3 linked regions of the Ovis aries genome follow. The protein of the gene in region 2 interacts with the protein of the main gene of each other region in a pairwise test. Links are inferred from orthologs where the notes say so. Each region holds a gene or a part of one and is shown on either strand. Other genes may lie near its edges.

What was found.
Region 1: the proteins of POLR2L (region 2) and REL interact in binary tests that used the Homo sapiens proteins (3 or more experiments, as listed by UniProt). The two-hybrid records come from large-scale screens. The link is inferred for Ovis aries from reciprocal best matches to the Homo sapiens genes POLR2L and REL.
Region 3: the proteins of POLR2L (region 2) and RPAP1 interact in binary tests that used the Homo sapiens proteins (3 or more experiments, as listed by UniProt). The link is inferred for Ovis aries from reciprocal best matches to the Homo sapiens genes POLR2L and RPAP1.

What each region holds. Positions count from the first base shown.
Region 1 is NC_056056.1:63,129,102-63,133,534, forward strand, and holds the start of REL (proto-oncogene c-Rel), read right to left. Parts: upstream 2,881-4,433; 5' UTR 2,565-2,880; coding exon 2,555-2,564; intron 1-2,554. UniProt on the Homo sapiens protein: Proto-oncogene that may play a role in differentiation and lymphopoiesis.
Region 2 is NC_056074.1:46,915,009-46,918,608, forward strand, and holds POLR2L (DNA-directed RNA polymerases I, II, and III subunit RPABC5), read left to right. Parts: upstream 1-1,309; 5' UTR 1,310-1,343; coding exon 1,344-1,438; intron 1,439-2,821; coding exon 2,822-2,930; 3' UTR 2,931-3,079; downstream 3,080-3,600. UniProt on the Homo sapiens protein: DNA-dependent RNA polymerase catalyzes the transcription of DNA into RNA using the four ribonucleoside triphosphates as substrates.
Region 3 is NC_056060.1:35,150,700-35,154,341, reverse strand, and holds part of RPAP1 (RNA polymerase II-associated protein 1), read left to right. Parts: intron 1-150; coding exon 151-352; intron 353-774; coding exon 775-884; intron 885-1,113; coding exon 1,114-1,309; intron 1,310-1,480; coding exon 1,481-1,633; intron 1,634-1,831; coding exon 1,832-1,977; intron 1,978-2,546; coding exon 2,547-3,303; intron 3,304-3,642. UniProt on the Homo sapiens protein: Forms an interface between the RNA polymerase II enzyme and chaperone/scaffolding protein, suggesting that it is required to connect RNA polymerase II to regulators of protein complex formation.

The sequences.
Region 1 (4,433 bases), on a different chromosome or scaffold from region 2:
GTAAAAACAACCCAGTCACTATGCTGTACACATGAAACTAAAACAATACTATAAATCAACTATATTCCAATTTAAAAAATAATAATTTTTAAAACTGTAAGTAAAAATAAATTATCTAAATTTGAATACATATTTTACCAAAGACAGTACTATTTATTAGTAAACAAAGCACACAAAAACATTTGCACCTTCTACTGGAATAAGGAGAAGCTTTAAATTCAGACCAAAAAATAGCTAATTTTATTTACCTTAAAACAGATTAGAATCATAAATATACAAGAGTAAGGACTGCTTATGTATACCTTGGATGGGACTGAGAACTTCTTTTTAATGCCTATCCTAATTAACTGTGTCAAAAGAATGGAATCAAGGTGTAATTAAAAAAAAAAAGTAATCAAGACAGCTTGATAGAACTCAAGCTGTGAAATCCTAAATATGACAGTTTAACTGAACAAAATTTAGAATCATACATATAGTCCCAGTTATTCATAGTACTTATATAATTTTATTTATGAGATTATGATGTTACTGTCATATTATACAGACCATATATTCAACTACAGACACCTATTTACATATAACATCCGGTGAGAAATGAAGAAACAGTCTTAAATGCTTGGTAATCAATAAAAATACTTTCTGAGGTTTTTATACTCTGTACTACAAACTATAAACTAGACAATGGTAAACTAAGCAGAAGTTTTTTTCAGTTACTCTTTTGCTTAAATTACTGTTTCAAAACAGGATGGGAGCTTATAATTTTGTGAATCTTTTTCTCTAAGATTTTTACAAATGATTAAGGAAAGTACACCCAGATTTTTCCTTAGTAGTTTTCAAACAACAGAATTACAATTTAAATAACTTGTTACATTTTAAATAGTGTCATTTTAATATAATTCCAGAAAAGGGGAGGGTGATAATTACCCTTTAAAATTTTCCCCCCTCAATTTAGGAAATCAGTCCTCTCACTAAGACAAAAACAAATGTCAGTTTTAAACAAGTTTAAATTGTACCACATTTTTAAATGATGTGGGTCTTACAATAGTCCATATAAATGGCTAATTCTTCTTTCTCTCTTTTGAATGGATTACAAGTGTTACATTCACACCATATATCAACAAAGTTTGGTTAAATTACCAGAAGGCTGATTTTTCTGTTTACTTTATTATGCTAACCATTCTTTAACTTTCATACAAAATCCTTCTGAGAGTCAATAAATTAACCAAGTGTTTCAATCATCTTTGCACTTTTAATCTCAACATGGTCTGAATTTATGAATTTACAAGATTATCTGAAAGTTTAGGGTCACTGAAGTGGCTAAAGAGAAAGTTGAAATATTTTAAACTACATTTGTATTCTCACAGAAAACCACAGACAAACTGAAATCAAATGTCATGTGAACCACCCCAATTTCCTTTTTGGCCTAGAGCAGTAGCTACCTCTTTGTTCTGCTCAACCCTGTTTTTAAAAAAAAAAAGTCCTTTATGCTTTCTACTTCCTCTTCTCTGGTAGTCCTCAGTTTTCTACTGTGGGTCACTGAACCAGGGTGTTGGGAGGATGCAGGTCAAACATAAACAAGCCTCCTTCTTCAGCCTCCTGTTGTCTTCAGCCTCTGCGTTAATCCACACTTTAGGCCTCCTTGCCTCTGCTCACTCTTGCAGGGAAGGTGCCTCCAAGAACCGTGACAGACTCCTGTGAAGGTCCCACTCCAAAGCAGCCTACTTGATTTAGTAACCCTTAGGTTGCAGGCTAACCTAAACCACAGCTGGATGGGGAGGCTCCCTCCCGCATCCTTTAAGCAGTTTCTAGGTAAAGCAAGAGATCCCCGCATTTACTGTCTACAAATAAGTATTCACGTAAGTGACAGAAAGTTTTCATTCTCACCCGTTACTTTAAAGCACGGGGATCCTAAAAATCCTCTTTTCCCCTTCCTTCCAACAAAAGAGAACAAAACTCGATTTCTGCTCCATAAATTAAAAAGTACGCACTTTACAGTAAAAATGATCCACTTGTTGAAGCAACATTTCCACTTAAGACTTGTTAAAATACCACTGGTGATTTTTAAAGGCGCGTCACATTTGTCCAACTGTCAGCACAACTGCGATCACCTCTTGGCAACTGATGAAACTGAACTTAAAAAAAGATAAGCTCTCCTGAGACCGGAAGGTTCCTCATTCCTATTCTAAAACGAAACACCACCATTTCAACTTAAATCAATTTAAAAATACGGGAACTCTTTCGTCCTCCTTTATTTAGATTCTTATTACTTCCTTAATCCAAAAACAAAGTCTTCTGGAAGGTCTAAGGTTCCGGCTATTACAATGGCATCAAGTTACAGAGCGTGACTTCGATTTCGCACGCAAACCCTGAACCAGGTCACTTTTAAAAGGCTGACAAACTTACCAGAGGCGATTTTAAAAACAGAATGAGACATAACCAAAACTGGGCCCCCGAAACCCTGAGTAGTTAGATCCTCGGACGCACTCCTTCGCTCCCCGCTGTCCGGGACCCTGCCCACGCCCGGCCGTCGGTAGCCCGCGCCGGGAACACTCACCTGAGGCCATTGCTCCGCTCACAGCGCCGCCCCGCTCCGAGCGTCCGGACCGGAGGCCGCTACAGTCACTCAGCCCGTCAGTCGGGCCGCCCAGGGACCTCTGCTGGCGGGATCCCCAGTCCCCCTGACCACCCCCGGGCCTCCTCCTCCTCCTCCTTCCCGCCCTCCTCTGGATTTGCGGCTCACACCTTCCCACCCGCTTAATCCTCGCGCTCCGGTCACCCGGCGTCGCTCGTCCAGGTGGCAGAAGCCAGAAGACGGAGCGCAGCTACAGCGGAGAGCAGGTCTGCCTGAGAGGCGGACAGCCCAGCGGGAGGGGGACTTCCAGAGACTGACGTAGGATCCCTCACCTCCGTACCCCGGGGCGGGGGCGGGGGCGGAGGCGGAGCGTCCTGCGACCGGCGCGCGAGCGTCCGCCGACCGCTGCCGGGCCCCGTCCCGCCCATGCCCCGCCCACCCGCCCGTCTCCTGAATGCCGGGTGGGCTCGGGAACCGGTCGGGGAAGCTGCCTCTCCGGGAACGTAGGGAACGCTGGGAGCCGGGGAGTGACGGCCCCGAGCGTGCGAAAGCCGCCGGTCCCCGAGAAATCCCCCTCCTCCAGGATGTTCTTGGGCGCGTGGCTTAAAGTTCAGGAGGGGTGGGAGGGTGCGGTGACGTCGAGAAGGGCCGGCTGCCCTCCCGCGAGCACTTCGGGGCGGGCCCTCCCCTCCCAGGCTAGGGGGAACGACGGTCGGGGTTTTCGTTGGGTGGTTCCCCCTCTTCCCTCTGTCGCACATGCAAATCTCCGCCCCCGGACCGGCGGGCGGCGCAGCGCGGGCGTCCCGGAGCGCCCTCGAGGGGAAGTGCGGAAGCTGCCGCGGCCTCGGTGAGCCTGTAATTCAGGTATTTGCATACGGGGACCCCCGCAGTCTGATATACCTTTGCAACATCTCCTTTGTGAGGACTCTGTTAACGTACTTGACAAACTAAAAAACTTTTCAAGCTAGTAAGGTCCGCAGTGTGAGTTCGTTTCCTCGTTACTCAGTGCTCCAAGTTAATGAAGTGGACACCCCATTGGGATTTGACAGACTCACAAGGAAAGGACGAACGTGTAGCATCAGAATCTAGGATAACTTTTGTTTCCTTCCTGTATAAAGAATTTTGTATGTGTCAGTTTAGTTACCCCCTTTATAATGAATTATTATCCTCATTTTATAGATGAGGCAATCAGGGTTCAGAGAAGTAACTTGCCTGTACATCAGAATGCTAGTAAGAAAGAACAGTTTAAACTCAAGGTTTCGGACTCCAGAACTCCGTGCTCTTTCCACTTTCCTTTACCGTTTAAAATAAGTATGGAGGGGCAATGGGAGCTATCAGCCATACAAGTGCCCAAACTGGAGGCCCCAGTTGGGAAATAATTAAAAATAAACTCTCCTGTCACCACCCCCAACCAAAGCATCCTTTCCACAAAATATAGAAAACAATGAAACAGTTTTATGATTAGCATAAGCCGTAAACCATATTGTGATGCACTTAAGAGACCGCAAAGAGAAAAAGGAAATCTCACTCGTTTATATCATCAGATAGATGCAATCAACTACAATGCCTGTTGTCTTTCTCCCAAGGGAAAATAATCGGAATTACATCTTGGAGCTAAAACTCGAGGTTGAAACTCCCAGAGATAGGTAGCCAGGGCCCCATCTTCCTTGATGTTCAGATTTCAAAGGGATAGCTCCAAGACCCCCAAGAAAGATCTTAAGGGGGTGCAAAACCTGCAAGAAGCTTATTTGGCTTTTTAAAAGGTGTACAGAATTCGTTAACAGTTTCCTTTTTTTCTAAAAGCATTGCTAAATGAAAAGAGAGGAAAATGTTTTCTGTTCTTTTTGACGCTAGGCAGAGT
Region 2 (3,600 bases):
AGGGTGGGGGACGGCGAACCCCGCTGGGGAGGGTGGCCAGAGCCAAACTCCAGACGCAGAAGTGCTGGCCAGCCTCCCTGGGACCTCCACTCCCAGCCCCTTGACTTACAGTCAGAGTCCACCACCCACCCCAGGTGGACTCTGAGCTAAAGCCTGGGACCCAACATGGTGGGCCCACCCCCACCCCCCACCCCAACCAGAGACCCTGACGCCCCAGGCCAGCAAATATGAGGAGACCCTGCCTAGGTGCCTAGCCCACCCTCCTCAGCCCAAAGCTCGCCTCCTCCAGGGAGCCTTCCTTGCTTCTCAGTGCACACAGCCCTCTCCCAGCCGCCAGTCACAGGATCAGGGGGCTCACCTCTCGCCACTTCCCGAGACACAGCCCCCGCCCCCGCCCCCCCCCCGCTCCCTTTAAACCCCCACCGCCTCCAGCTCCCACAGCTTCTGTCCCGCACGGACGGGTGTCTGTCCGGCTCCCTCTTTAAGTCTCAGCTCAAAAGACACCCCGAGTGCCCTCCCGACCCTCAGAGCCGGCGCTCCCGGGTCACTGGCGCCCGCCCCTGCCGAGCGCGGACTGGAGCCTGGGCCGCCAGCGCCTCCCCCGGGAAGAAGGCAGGAGGGGGGGCCAAGCTGACCGCGGCGACGGCCGGAGCCCCCACCGGCTGGGTCGCCCCGCGCCGCCCGCCTGCAGGGATACGGGCAGCTACCGGGCCGGGACCGTTACTGTGCAGGCGACCCGGCCAGGCGGCGACCTCGAGGGTCCCTCGGACTCTGCGCAGAGACCCCCGAGTGCCCGCGGGCAGCGGCCCCAGGCGGAGAGGCCGCCCCCTGCCCGGCCCCTCCGGCCGCTCTCCGCGCCCCAGACCCGGCTCGCAACTTGTTGCTGAAACGCGGCTCGCGCTCTGCGCTCGGGGCCCCAGTTCGCGCGGGCCCGGCCGCACTCCGCCCGCGGCCCGGCAGGGGCGCTGTACCTGCCTCGCGCCCGCCGCGCGGAGTCGGTCGGCCGGGCACGAGGAACGCGAACGCCGCCGCCGAGCCCTTGCGGCCCCGCGCGGACGCCGTAGGCCGGGACGTACCAAGGCGCGGGCGGGGGGCTCCCGCCGGGCCCCGCCCCCGGCCCCGGCCCCCGGGCCCCGGCCCCCGGGCCCGCGCCCGCCGGAGGAGCCGCCGTCGCGGCGGGAGGCGGATGCCGGCGGCGCCGGGGCCGCGGGGAGGTGCACGGGGCGGGCCGGGCCGGCACCCCCGCGCCATGGGCGCGCCATGGGCACGCCGGGGCGGAAGCGCCGGGGGATCCGGGCGTCGGGCCGCCGGGCCGCGAAGCTTCTAGCTCCCGCGCCGCCGCCATGATCATCCCCGTTCGCTGCTTCACGTGTGGCAAGATCGTCGGCAACAAGTGGGAGGCCTACCTGGGCCTGCTGCAGGCCGAGTACACCGAGGGGTGAGGGGCGCGCTCCCGGCCGCCGGCCTGCGGGGCCCGGGGCGGGGAGGGTTTCCCAGCCTGCGCGGCCCGGGGCGAGGACAGGGGCGCCCGGCCTAAGGGGAGGGTTTCCCAGCCTGCGGGGCCCGGGGCGGCGGGACGGGGGCCCGGCCTGCGGGGCCCGGGGCGAGGACAGGGGCGCCCGGCCTAAGGGGAGGGTTTCCCAGCCTGCGGGGCTCGGAGCGAGGACACGGGGGCCCCGGCCTGCGGGGCCCGGGGCAGGGTCAAGGGGGCCTAGCCTGCGGCGTCGGCGTCTCGGGCGGCTGTCGAGGATCCAGGCTTGAGGGGTTGGGGTCTTGAGGCGGCAGTCAGGGGTCTTGGTCTCCAGGTCAGGAGCAAGGGACGTTCATCAGATCCCAGGTGACGCCGGCAAGGCTTTTATTCCCGGAGCCTTTGCCAGCCCTGTTCTCCAGACCTGCTCTCAGGAAAGCGTCTCCCACCCCCCAGTTCAGGCAGACGAGGGGAGCTAGTTGTCAAGCGCTGGTGTCTGGGGACTCGAGTATTCTGGCTCCACGCCTCCACCGCAGATAGGCCCCTGGCCACCTCTGTCCGTCAGCTCCCTAAGTTCTCCCTGCTATTAGGCCCACCCCGTGTCCTCAAAGACACTGATGCTGGGCAAGATGGAAGGCGAAAGGAGAAAGGAGCGGCAGAGGAGGACGCGGTTAGGTAGCATCAGCAGCTCAATGGACAGGAGTTCAAGCAAACTCTGGGAGATAGAGGAGAACATGAGCTCAGCGAGCTGCAGTCCATGGCGTCACGGACACGACCGAGCGGCTGAACAACAAACCGTGTCTTGCAGACTCACGGGCTTTTTTAGTACATAGGACAAGCTTCTGATCACATAGCCGTCATCATCAGGCTTTTGTGGGGTCCCTTTTCCGTGTTTGCCCCTTGGCACTGCAGTTACCGCCTTACTTGTCTGAGTTTACCCTAGACAAGAGTCTGACTTTGGTCCTTGTGTGGACAGCCCCATCCTTATCAAAGTGTGAACCTCTGGGACCTGGAGTGTGGTAGCAGGTGAGGTTCTCCGTGTAGCTGTGTTGGGTGGATAGGGAAGCAACGGACGGCCGTAGTATCTGCACCAGGCTTCGAGGAGGCTGCTGGAATGACCACAGTGCGAGTGAATGCTGGCAGCCTGCCCCAGACTCCTCCCCGAGATGCCCCAGGCCAGGGCTGCCCAAGCGGCCGCCCCTTTTATGGGTGCCACGCTGGTGCCCACACACAGGAGGCTTTGAGGGTGACTGGGGCCGTGTCTCTGGGAGGTGAGGGGGGCTGCTCCCCCCGGGCGAGGCCCTCTGTCTGCCGGGAGGAGCAGGCTGCAGCCAGATCTCTCCCCACCTGCAGGGACGCCCTGGACGCGCTGGGCCTGAAGCGCTACTGCTGCCGCCGCATGCTGCTTGCCCACGTGGACCTGATCGAGAAGCTGCTCAACTACGCTCCCCTGGAGAAGTGAGCCCGCGATGCCGCAGGGGGCGTCTCACCCATGGCTTGTTCCCCTGGGGTGTGGGGCGCCGGAAGCCACGCCCGCCCACGGCTCTGTTGGCGTGGGTCTTCCTCCCTGGAAAGAACTGTCTAGTAAATGTTTCTGAGGACTGCCAGGAAGTCCTAACAGTTGGTCTGGGTTTGTGGGCTGCCCCGCCGGTTCCTGGGGTTCTACCTGGTGCCCGAGGCCCGCACGGCCCAGGAGGAGGGTGGGCCTTCCATACGGGAGTGCTCAGCACGGGGCTCCCTTCCTCTGTGGGCGCTTGGCCCCACAGAAGACACAGATGTCACGAGTGCTTGGGGTGGGGGCACCGGCGTCCCACAGCGCTGTTCTGGGTGCCCTTCAGCCGAGAACAGAGGTCCCCACTTCCTCCCCCGGTATCTAATGCTCCAGACTTTCTGCGCTCTGAGTGGAGTGCTCCCTGTGGTCACAGCTGCGCATCCTGAGGTTGCTGCCGCCAGAAGCTTCCAGGCTCCACCCACAGCAGGCAGGCAGCTCCACTCCACCCCTGAGACCCCACAGCAGGTGGGAGGTGCCCTGAGGCAGCTCTCCTGGGCATCTGTTCTGAATGGGCTCTCAGTGCCCAGGCGTTAAATGCGTTGCCCTGAAAACCAACTAGAGAGCTGTCTGGCGGGGGCGG
Region 3 (3,642 bases), on a different chromosome or scaffold from region 2:
GGCCCTGGCCCCGAGCTGCCGGTGGAGAGTCGTCCTGCCGGGAGCTCTGGGATCGGTGGGAGGGCTCCTCCACAGAAAGAGGGTGGCCGGAGCCTAGAGGGCAGTCCGGGCAGCCAGATCCTCACCCGGCCCCTTTTGGCTCTCCTGTAGTTACTCTGCTGAGGCCAGTCTGTTGGCCAGCCCTTCCTCAATCACTTGGACACAGGTGTCTGGGCTCCAGCCTCTCGTGGAGCCATGTCTCAAACAGACCTTGAAGTTGCTGCCCAGACCTGAGATGTGGAGTGCCCTGGGCCCAGTGCCCACTGCCTGCCTGCTCTTCCTGGATGCCTACTACCAGGCCTGGAGCCAGCAGGTACGTGTTGCCTACTCGCCTTCCCGCCTGCCCTAGGTGCCCCGTCTGTGTCTTAGCATTCTGCCCTCTTTCTCGTGTCTCCACCTGTCCACACCTCCCTCTTGCCACCTTTCCTGCCCTCCACCTTTTCCCTCCTACCATTTTTCCTCTTTGCACCTTCACATCCAGTAGAGCTTCCAAGGAGCCATGTTGGTAGAGGCCAGAGAACCCCAAATAGCAGCTTAGCCTCCCTACGGCCGTTATACCCTCTCATGACCCTGCCAGCACATCCTCAGAGTCTTCTCTCCCTCCAGAAGGGTCAGAAGGCAGAAGCCTCTAAACACTGACTCTGGGGATCTTGGAATCATAGGCTCAGCCAGAGTGCACAGGATAGGAGGATGGGGGCTCCTGGGCCATCAGCTCTGAGTCGCATGGTCTTCCAGCCAGGCCTGTGCCCAGAGGATTGGCTGCAGGATATGGAGCGCCTGTCAGAGGGGCTGCTGCTGCCCCTGCTGAAACACCCTTCTCTGGGCAGCCTGTGGGATTCCCTGAGGTATGTACTATGTGTGTGGTGGAGGTTGGTGAAGGGAGGCAGTTTTGCTCCTTGTGGGGTTCCTGAGTCCATTCAGCTTGAGGGAGACCTGAATCCCTAGTAGGCAGCAGCTGGGGGCTCCAGGGAACATGGGCCCTGTCTGCATGGCCACCTTGACACTGGCCTTGGCCGCAGACACTCCAGCACACCTCAGACCAGAGCCCCCTTGGCTTCTCCACTCTGCCTCCAGGTGCTGCTCCCCTCTGTGCAACCCACAGTCCTGTGCTGTGACCCCTGAAACTGTCTCCAGCCTCGTGTCACTGGGCTGTGCAGGGGGCCACCCCCCTCTCAGTCTGGCTGGCTCAGCTTCCCCCTTCCCGTTCCTCACGGCCCTCCTGTCTCTTCTTAACACCCTGGGCCGGATCCACAAAGGACTGTGTGGCCAGGTGAGTGCTGGGGGCCAAGATTGCAGGACTGTCGGGGAGGGCACCCCTTGGGGAAAGGAGGCCTGTTTTGTCAAACCCTCACTTCCGAGTCTGGCAGGGAACGGGTGGCCGGGGAGCCCCAGAAGGCATCGAAGTCACCTTCCAAATCTGAACACACGTACTCTTCCTCAGCTGGCCACCGTACTGGCTGCCCCGGGACTCCAGAACTATTTCTTGCGATGTGTGTCTCCCGTGGCCGCTCCGCACCTCACCTCCTTCTCTGCGTGGGCCCTGCGCCACGAGTACCACCTGCAATACCTGGCACTCACCCTGGCCCAGAGAGCGGTGGGTGCCCCTAACCCCCCACCCCATCCTGCCTCCCTGGAACACGTGCTGCTGCTAACAGGCCATGCAGCTCCTACTTCCCTGAAGACATGCCCAGAATCTGTGCCTATTGGCACGTATTCTCTTCCTCACTTCTGTTCCCCGTGCCCCCTCACCCCCTCTGCCTCCTCTTCCTCCTTCCCCCTTTTCTGTCCATAGGCAACACTGCAGCCACCAGTGTCAGGCACCGACGCGGTCCTCTGTCACAGCATGGCCTTGGCCCTGCTGGGCCGGCTGCTGCCTGGGAGTGAGCACCTCGCCCATGAGCTGATGCTGAGCTGTGTGTTCCGGCTGGAGTTCCTCCCGTAAGTCCAGGCTTGGTAGCATCAACTCAGCCCTTTCAAAAAGCTGCTGTGGTGGTTGCCAGAGCAGCTCTGAATTGGGAACCGGAAGACCTGGGCTTAATTTTCTTTCTTCCATGGATTACACTTAGCCTGTCTTGAGTTTCCGTTTCCTTATTAGTTAAGTGAGAATGAGGATAACACACTAGGGTATTATTATGAGACTTCTGTGACTGTATGGTTGGAAAATGGTTATAAACTAGCTGTACACTTGTAGAGCTAACAGTTACTCAGTGCTTACTCTTTGTCTCATCCCCCTTAACTATATGTCTGTAATTATTTAACCCTTACTATGAGATGGGTATTATCGTCATTATTATCATCCCCATTTTACTATGTGGGAACCGAGGCAGAGTTCTGTAAATGAGTACCAAGGTAACTCTCTCTAGTGTCCGTCCTCTTAACTGCCATGTGGCTGGTTATTAGGGGGACAGGAAGCAGCAGGATTGGACCTGGGAGCCTCTTGGAGGCCCTGGAGAGTTGGTGGCCTTGTGGGTTCTTGCCCTCATTTTTGTTTTCGGGTTCTGTTACAGAGAAGGAGCATCAGGGGGTCCGGAGGCAGCTGACTTCTCTGACCGGCTCTCCTTAGGAAGCGGCGGAGACCTTGGATGTGGGCGAGGGACTCTCCTAGCTCAGGCCTGCCAGGACCTCCCCAGCATCCGCAGCTGCTACCTGACCCACTGCTCACTGGCCCGGGCTAGTCTGCTCGCCTCCCAAGCCTTGTACAGAGGGGAGCTCCGGCGAGTCCCAGCCTTGCTGCTCCCTGTGCCTAAGGAGCCGCTGCTGCCCACTGACTGGCCTTTCCTGCCATTGATTCAACTCTACCACCGGGCCTCAGACACCCCCTCGGGGCTCCCTCCTGCTGACACTGTGGGCACAGCCCTGCGGGCCCTGCAGTGGGTGCTCATCCTGGAGAGCTGGCGCCCCCGGGCGCTCTGGGCTGTGTCTCCTGCTGCCCGCCTGGCGCGGCTCATGTGTGTGTTCCTGGTGGACAGTGAGTTGTTCCGGGAGACCCCAATACAACGCCTGGTGGCAGCCCTCCTGGCCCGGCTCTGCCAGCCTGAAGTCCTACCAAATCTCAACCTGGATTGCCCACTTCCTGGCCTGACATCTTTCCCGGACCTCTATGCCAACTTCCTGGAGCATTTTGAGGCTGTCTCTTTTGGGGACCACCTCTTTGGGGCTCTGATTCTCCTTCCCCTACAGCGTCGATTCAGCGTCACCTTGCGCCTCGCCCTCTTTGGGGAGCACGTGGGTGCCTTGCGAGCTCTGGGCCTGCCACTGACCCAGGTACTTTCTCAGCCCAGCAGGGCCAACCATGGTCATCCTGTCCTGGGCCTTGGAAGCACTCCTGAGCAGCGGGGTGCTTTGGTGGCCTGAGGTTCTTTATCTTACCTCTTGGGGGCTTTGAGGAGATGAGAAAATACATGAAAAGGGTTTATCATGGTAACTGGCATACCATAGGTGTTCATTATTATTAGTGGCACTGTTCCTTGCTCGTGAGGTGCTACAGTGTAGACAAGAGATGTACTGAAACCAATACAGTTCTCAGTTATTCAGATTCTAGGTGTTAAGTCAGGATTCAGAGAAGGCAAAGATCAAAGTGGATTTTCCATGAGGAGAAGGTTT